Drosophila melanogaster: one gene and its partner. The protein of the gene in region 2 interacts with the protein of the main gene of each other region in a pairwise test. Each region holds a gene or a part of one and is shown on either strand. Other genes may lie near its edges.

What was found. Proteins that work in one complex are often made in the same cells at the same time.
Region 1: the proteins of CSN6 (region 2) and Hsp60B interact in a two-hybrid assay, tested with the Drosophila melanogaster proteins (one large-scale study listed by BioGRID).

What each region holds. Positions count from the first base shown.
Region 1 is NT_033779.5:726,854-731,341, forward strand, and holds Hsp60B (heat shock protein 60B), read left to right. Parts: upstream 1-1,508; 5' UTR 1,509-1,654; coding exon 1,655-3,601; 3' UTR 3,602-3,711; downstream 3,712-4,488. UniProt on the Drosophila melanogaster protein: Prevents misfolding and promotes the refolding and proper assembly of unfolded polypeptides generated under stress conditions.
Region 2 is NT_033777.3:22,578,482-22,582,757, forward strand, and holds CSN6 (COP9 signalosome subunit 6), read left to right. Parts: upstream 1-2,291; 5' UTR 2,292-2,413; coding exon 2,414-2,794; intron 2,795-2,852; coding exon 2,853-3,497; 3' UTR 3,498-3,552; downstream 3,553-4,276. Other genes in the region: CG33110 (uncharacterized protein), read left to right, coding at 954-1,235; Dph5 (diphthamide methyltransferase), read right to left, coding at 3,724-4,276. UniProt on the Drosophila melanogaster protein: Component of the COP9 signalosome complex (CSN), a complex involved in various cellular and developmental processes.

The DNA.
Region 1 (4,488 bases), on a different chromosome or scaffold from region 2:
AATTTGCTATGACGACCACCAAATTATTTATTTTAGTGCAGTTCATCGATAGATCGCTCCCATCAGCTCAATCTGCACTTGGCTGCCCCAGATCCCAGATCCAGGAATTTCGTCTGCCTGGTACTTACGCAAATGCTCAGATTGAACTGCCAGTCTATCGTCTGCAGTCTATCCATTTCTCATTAAAACTTTCTTTGCTGTCTGCTCCACAATTACCCGAACGACTTCATCTGCTCGATCCACGGATCCATCCGCGGGTAATGACAGAGCCGGCAAAAAATCTGCCAAAACCAATAGGAAATCATCAGCCAACGGTCAGTGGGTTAATTTTGGCCCACCAAAAATACTGAAATGAATTGGAGAATCCCCGAAGATGGCCTGCAATTAATCATAGATTGAGGCTTATTCGCTATCCAGCGAAAGTAATTTGTAGCCGACAAGAGACCCTGCAGATCGCTTGTAGTTACGATTATCGCACAGCCCACCAGGTGGTCTTCCCACCATGGACACTTTCACATGTCGCAGAGTTGGCGCAGATGGGGAGAAAGGTTGCGAGAGGAAGAAGAGTCGTCGAACATGCAAATGCCTCATCAATCAGCTCCTCCGCCCTTCCCCTTCAAATCGGTGACGTGCTTTTGACACAAAACCCGGCTACTGTGCTACCGCTTGCACATGGCAATCAACGCGTCAAGCGGCCAGGAAACGGATCCCGATTCCGACCCCAGTTCCAATTCCCGTCTGCGGCACACAGAAAAAAGTTATACCTACTGAACTAAATGTGACATTATTTTATACGTATAGAATACGAGAGATAGCTCATATAAATCGCATTGAATTTATATGCAAACCTATTTCTAAACATTCATACCTAAGTGCAATTCATCGTGCGAAAGTAATGCCTTCTTGCGCGCTGTGCACCCAACATTTTCATCCCATCTCCATTTCCATCTCCGCCTCAAACTCCCCATTTCCATTTCCATTTGCCGTTTGGCTTGCAGCAAAATGTGTGAATTTCTTTAGTTTGCAGTAGGCAGCACACAATTTTTGACAGCTGCCTTCGAAATGGGAACGGTCAGCCGAGGAAAATGCATCCATCCTCCGGTGCAGAACAGTCGCACCGCAGTTCTGGGAAATCTGCACACGCTGGTCTTGTTTGTGGGTCAGCCTCAGCCGATGGAGGCGAATAGAACTGCAAATGGGCAGACTCCACCCAGAATGTCGGGGCTTATTAGCTGCACGCTAATTTATTCCGGCAAACAGAAGGCACGGCTTCTGTTGTCGAAGATTTCAGAGCCGCAGATCGCAGACGGGCAGGCGCCAGACAAATGAATGTTGTGAAATCTGGCGATTGCCTGGAAACTTGTCCGCAAAGAGAAAAAAGAAAAAAGAGAAAAGTGCTCAAGGAAAAGCAATATAAATAAAGAAGAATGGCTTGCACATGTTACATAAAACGAGAAGCTTAAAGATAATGGAAACAAAATTTGGATTTGAATATGGGAGTAGGCCTTGAACGAGTCCGTCTAGTCCGTCAGTATCGAGTCAACAACCTACATATTAGTTGCACTCACTTCGTGTCTGAGATCAAACGAAAAAATATTAGAACCAAAAGTTTTGAAAGTTTTTTTTTTATTATAGTTTCAAACTTAAGTGCAAAATGTTTCGGTCGTGTGTGCCCAAGGCGATTACCTCTAGTCGCTGTTTCGCGCGGATGTACTCGAAGGACGTGCGCTTTGGCTCCGGAGTACGGGCAATGATGATCCGGGGCGTTGATATTCTGGCTGATGCCGTTGCTGTGACCATGGGGCCCAAGGGTCGCAGTGTGATCGTGGAGCGACCATGGACCTCGCCGAAGATCACCAAGGACGGCTTCACGGTCGCGCGCTCGATTGCCCTAAAGGACCAGCACATGAATCTGGGCGCCAAGTTGGTCCAGGATGTGGCCGATAATACGAATGAGTCGGCGGGTGACGGCACGACCACAGCAACAGTTTTGGCTCGAGCGATTGCCAAGGAAGGATTCAATCAGATTACCATGGGGGCTAATCCCGTGGAGATTCGTCGAGGTGTCATGTTAGCTGTTGACGTCGTAAAGGACAAGCTGAAGGAAATGTCCAAGGCAGTGGAAACGCGTGAGGAGATCCAACAAGTAGCCACCCTCTCCGCGAACGGGGATACTGAAATTGGGCGGCTCATTGGTGAGGCCACCGACAAAGTGGGTCCAAGAGGAACTATTACTGTAAAGGATGGCAAGCGCCTGAAGGACGAGCTAAATATTATCCAGGGCCTGCGCTTCGACAACGGCTATGTGTCGCCCTTTTTCGTAAACAGCTCCAAGGGGTCCAAGGTGGAGTTTGCCAACGCCCTTGTAATGATATCCCTGAAGAAGATCACTGGACTCTCGCAAATAGTTAAAGGTCTGGAGCAATCCCTGAGGCAGCGTCGTCCCCTGATCATCATAGCCGAGGACATCAGCGGGGAAGCCCTCAATGCTTTGGTCCTGAACAAGCTCAGGTTGGGCCTCCAGGTGTGCGCCGTCAAATCGCCCAGCTATGGACACCACCGCAAGGAGCTTATAGGCGATATATCCGCTGCCACGGGAGCAACTATTTTCGGCGATGACATCAACTATTCCAAAATGGAGGAGGCTAAGCTGGAGGATCTGGGTCAGGTTGGCGAGGCTGTGATTAGCAAGGACAGCACCATGCTCCTGCAGGGCAAACCCAAGACAGGACTTTTGGAAATGCGCATCCAGCAAATTCAAGATGAACTGGCGGAAAAGCAAATCAAGCCAGAGCAGCGGGATCGTCTGCGCCAACGCCTCTCCGCCCTCACGAAGGGCGTGGCAGTGCTGCACATTGGTGGAGGCAGTGAAGTTGAGGTGAATGAGAAAAAGGACCGTGTGGTGGACGCCTTGAATGCCACTCGAGCGGCCATCGAAGAGGGAATTGTCCCAGGTGGCGGTACGGCCTTTTTGCGCTGCATTCCCTACCTCCAGGAACTCAAAACGGAGAGTGCAGATCTCCAGAAGGGCGTCGATATCGTCTGCAATGCCCTGAGGATGCCTTGCCAGACCATAGCTCAAAACGCCGGAGTTGATGGCCCAATGGTGGTGGCCAAGGTGTTGAATGGCTCGGAAGACTACGGCTACGATGCCATGGGCGATGAGTACTGTCGGCTGGTCGAGAAGGGCATTATTGATCCCACAAAGGTGCTGCGGACCGCCATCACGGATGCAGCTGGAGTGGCCTCTCTTCTGAGCACCACCGAGGTGGTTATCACCGACTCCCGGAACGATGATCTTTTGTCCAAGTTGTCAGGAGCTGGCGGCGGAATGGATGATGGACTGGACATGAACATGGGTGGCTTAGAGGAGCTGGCAGCCTTAAGTGGATTGGGTGGCATGGGTGGTATGGGAGGCATGGGTGGTATGGGAGGTATGGGAGGAATGGGAGGTGGATTCGGCGGAATGGGCGCTGGTGGCGGAATGAGCGCTTCTGCCAGCAATGACGGTCCCACTGCCGAGGAGATGAATGAAATGGTCAAGGCTATTCCCGGCATGGAGCAAGTAGAGGTGCGTGACATTGACAGTGGGATGATGTAGAACCCGCTTCCGTTATCCGCTCCAGCTCAAATCGTTTCTATAGTTCAAATATCTGTTGAGTGTCTAAATTTTATGTGTTCATCTAAAATATAAATTGACAATCGAAAACGAATTGTATAAAACAGTCGGGAACCCTTCCAAATGACTTGAGAAAGTGAATTATTGGCCTTTTCCCTACACCAGCAGTTTTCTGGCCAAATATCTTTCAACCGGTTCATTATGCTGGTCTGCAAAAAGCTACACTTCCTTCACACTTTCGGTTTTTAATTGCAGCCGAAAATTTGGAACGGCGACCGGCAGAGCGAATCCAGCTGCAATGCGATGATCATTTGCATAAAACAAACAGCAATTTCTCACACATGTGAGCCGACCCTCGGTTTTTTCCCCCGTACTTTGCATGGTTTGTGTTTGCAGATTTCATTTGTGGCCCGCAGCTAAAAAAGCGATTCGTTACATGAGAGTGAGTGCGCAAGAAGGGGGGCCTGAGGCTGGGAGCCTCCACAAGAGCGTCACATCAAACATGCATCAATAAATAAGTAATTCCAATTTGCAAATTTTTCATCGAGGCCCGCAAACGAACCGAAAATGGTGGACGGACCCATCGAGCATCGAGCGTGGGCCAGGGAAAAGCCACAGCCTCTTGGACCTCGCGAATCGGTCCTAGTCAGGTGGCTTGGTCTGGTCGTTTCGCGTCGAAAAGGAAATTGTTCATCTGGCAAACATATTGGGCACCATCGCCAAGGCACAGCAACAACTCCATTCGGCAAGTCGGAAAACTCTGAGCCAAAAACCAAAAACAGACGAAAGGCAAATAAAAAGGCTATCGCTATCGCTCTTGGCCAATCTGCATGTGCAGGCAAGTCTTGTTTTTGTTTTTCCTTCTTTTT
Region 2 (4,276 bases):
GCTAATTAAGATATCTGATAAGATACAATGCTCGTGTCTTAACCATCAACGATAAATCAATGATCATTAGCTTCGGCATTCCATTTAATTTATACATATTATTCCTATGGCTCACTTCGCCGTTCTTGAATCTAGTTACGTTTACTGGAATTTTAGACTAAGCAACTAGCTCATTGACATTCTTTGGCTTCTGAGTGCTTGTACGATTAAAAGGCTAGAATCTTGTCGTCAACTCTTTAGCATGCAGTGGGTGTGGGTGCCATTAGATTATCTTATGATCAAACATTATCGGTAACTATAAAAGCCCATAACACGCGCCAAGGGGTCGCACAGGGGCCAATCGGAGCCAGCTTGTTGGACTGGGCTAAGCATAGCTAGTCAGCAGCTAGTTAATAGCCTCATATCACACTGACACTCCGGCTAATTCCAATCAATGTGCGCACATTGTAGCCGCACTGAGTGCTTTTTGATTGCCCGCCCAGCTCAAGGGTGCTCCACTGCCAGCCGTTTTATTAGCAGCATTCAAAGAGCTGTAACCCGGACTGCAAAAAGTATAAGTTATGACTCGGCAGTTAGGGAACTGGCTAATTGAATGACGTTACAACTTCCGTAACGAGACAAGCTCCACTCAATGCCCTTCGACAGCGCCAATGACCATAAAGAGGTGGGTCAAGTTGAGCTTTGATTGCGAGCAAGCCGCTCGAAGGAGGCGTGTGCTCTCTCTTCGGAACTTTCCCAGAATTCAAGCGTAACAAGTCTGTTTGCCATATGGTTCCCACAACCTTATTCTTAATATGTGTGATTAGACAAGACAACGTTAATCTGCTTGGACGCACGATAAAAATTACATCAACAATTAGAAAACAAGGTCTAGCTGTGCAACCTACTATAACTAGGGTATAATGAGTATATGATCTCTGTAAAATTCATATTATTTTTCCCTTTTTTTTTAGGCCCAGTTCGTGCTGTGCATCTTCCACACCCTCCGCGCCCTCTTCAGCAACCAGTGCCAGTTCTCCAAGTTCATCTCTGCGCTGCTCCTATTGAATGCATCCATTTTCTTCTGCCTCTTCATGAACTTCTACATGCAGAGCTACAGGAAGACCAAGGCGGCGCAGCAACTGCAGCAGCAGCAGCAACAGCAGAAGCAACAGCAGCAACTGGATGCCACGCCCTGCAAGGCGGACAGCAACAATAACACGGCGATGCTGGCGCAAAAGCTGAAAGCCAACTGAATTGAAAATCGAAAGCAGTGAGAAAAGTGCTTCCAGGGATTGCCCAACATTGGGGGGAACAAATTTTACATAAACGGACCAGATTGGTGATGGCAACGGACGGAACGGAAGTAGTTTTGGTACAAAGGTTTCAACTAACGCTAAGCTAAGCTTAAGAGCCATAAATACACGAGCGTGCACGCACACACACACACAACCACAGAAGAGAACGAAGAAGAGGAAGTCCGCCTTCCGATGATCGATCGATCGAGCATGGGGAACACGGGGCGTATGCGCAACATCAATTATAACTTGGCGATTATCCCCTCGCCAGCTTCGCTTGATTGCTTCGCTTCGCATCGCATCGCATTCTCGCCATCTGTGGCTGCATTCGCATGTGTAGAACCGTACAACAAACTGGGTCAATTTTCGAGATCTGCCTAATGTGTAAGTCGCCTAATTCTAGAACCTCACGAACGAAACGCGTTTAGTCTTTAATTCCCTTAGGCTAAGTGATTATTGTAATTGTAATTGTGTATAGACGATTTGTAAATAGCCTGTTAAATGTTAAATATTTGTAGTCCTAAGCCAACTAGTCTAACTTACAAAATTCGCACGAACAAATACGGCGAGCACGAAATTAAAAGCCAAGACAAATAAAAACGAAGAAAAGATAAATAAAATAAAACCGAAAACCAACCAACTGGGTTTCAATATGTTCTAAATTCACAGCGGAAAAAACTGAGCTGTATATTGGCAGGGTCTTTCGGTGCGAAAGAGATAAATAAATTTTAGAAACATATCAATTTTAGAAACTTCCACAAACGAATCTAGTGCATATTAAAAATATATGTAACCGAATTGACTAAAAATGCTTTAATAGAAATATATATGGTTAATTTGGCGCATAATTAAGCTAACAGGAATTACAAAACATAAATTCAAATATAGTACTCGCTAATACTATAATCGAGCCGGCAACGCCGACGTTCAGTTTAAAAAGGTTCGCGCCACTGCTTAGACTGCATAAGGTGTGGTCACACCATTCTGCTGTCCCGATAGATAGCGATAAGTAATATCGTACTACTGAGAGACCACCAATAACGATAACGACAGCTTATACCGGAGCTTGTCAAACAAAAAGAAGTAAAATTAAGTTTATACCGCAAACTACGTGTAAATAAAGGCCCCCCGACAGCATGGAGCAAATGGAAGTGGACGTTGACATGTCGGCCAAGCCCAGCACATCGTCCTCCGCCGCCGCCGGGAGCAGTATGGCAGTGGATAAGACTGCGGATCAAAACCCACAGCCGCAGGGAAACATAATGGCTGCAGCGGGCACCAGTGGTTCTGTGACCATATCGCTGCATCCGCTGGTCATAATGAACATCTCCGAGCACTGGACACGCTTTCGTGCACAGCACGGTGAGCCGCGACAGGTGTACGGAGCACTGATTGGCAAGCAGAAGGGCCGCAACATTGAGATTATGAACTCGTTCGAACTGAAGACGGACGTTATTGGCGATGAAACAGTGATCAACAAGGACTACTACAACAAGAAGGAACAACAGTACAAGCAGGTGGGTGTCCAAGCCTCTACATACGCTGCTTTACCAGCTGTTACTCTTTTTTCCCCAGGTGTTCAGTGATCTCGACTTCATAGGCTGGTACACAACCGGCGACAATCCCACTGCCGATGACATTAAGATCCAAAGACAGATAGCCGCCATCAACGAGTGCCCCATCATGCTACAGCTGAATCCGCTCTCCCGCAGCGTCGACCACCTTCCCCTGAAGCTATTCGAGTCCCTAATCGATCTGGTGGACGGCGAGGCCACCATGCTGTTCGTGCCCCTCACCTACACACTGGCCACCGAGGAGGCGGAGCGCATTGGTGTGGATCATGTGGCGCGCATGACCTCGAACGAGTCCGGCGAGAAGAGCGTGGTGGCGGAGCATTTGGTGGCCCAGGACAGTGCCATTAAGATGCTAAATACACGCATCAAGATCGTGCTGCAGTACATACGCGATGTGGAGGCCGGAAAGCTGCGGGCCAACCAAGAGATTCTGCGAGAAGCCTACGCTCTCTGCCACCGACTGCCCGTCATGCAGGTGCCCGCCTTCCAGGAGGAATTCTACACGCAGTGCAACGATGTGGGACTGATTAGCTACCTGGGCACGCTGACCAAGGGCTGCAATGATATGCACCACTTTGTGAACAAGTTTAATATGCTGTACGACCGCCAGGGATCCGCGCGCCGCATGCGAGGTCTCTACTATTGATATATGCAAACAATCTATTAAAGCTTCGGAGATAAATACACATAATCGTACGATGGGTGAATGCGGTTTTATTTCAGCTGCCGCTGGGCAGGCTACATACGTATACGGGTGGCATCAAGCGATATCACTTTCTTCCTGAGCTTCCAGCTCCTCTTGCTTCGTAAATTCAATTCAGATGCACAGACAACATTTCCTAGACACTAAATTAGGTAATTTCGCAGCGGAATTAGTGGTTGTAGTCGTCCAGCTTGATGCTGGGGGCATACTGCTGCAAGAACTCCACCTCCAGCGGATGCATCTCCTTGGCGGGAATGATGAGCGAGTGCAGCGGTCCGCCCAAATCGGTCGAGCGCATCTCAAGCAGCGTGCCAACGGCAATCTGCTGCGACTCCTGGCCAACACGGGCCAGTCCAACGCACAGTGACTGCTCGTTGAGCACTGTGTTCTTCTCCAGCGAGTCCTTCTTCTCCACAATGGACAGCAACTGATGAGCCGCCTCCGCCACGGTCATGAAACGCGGTGGCATGTACTCCTTGCGTTTGCGCATCAAGGACTCCGGCGTGGGCTCCTTCACCTTGATGTCCAGCAGGCACAGCGTGTGCATGTTGTGCAGGCGATTCAGCTTGATCTTGTCGTAGAAGCTGTCCGGCTTCCATGTCTCGTCCCAGTACGGAATCGAAACGGTCTCGCCGAATTTGTACAATTGCAGGCCGCAGCAGCCGACGGCGTTCATGATCGATGCATTGTGGATGACCTTGTAGGGGATGTTCTTCTCCTTG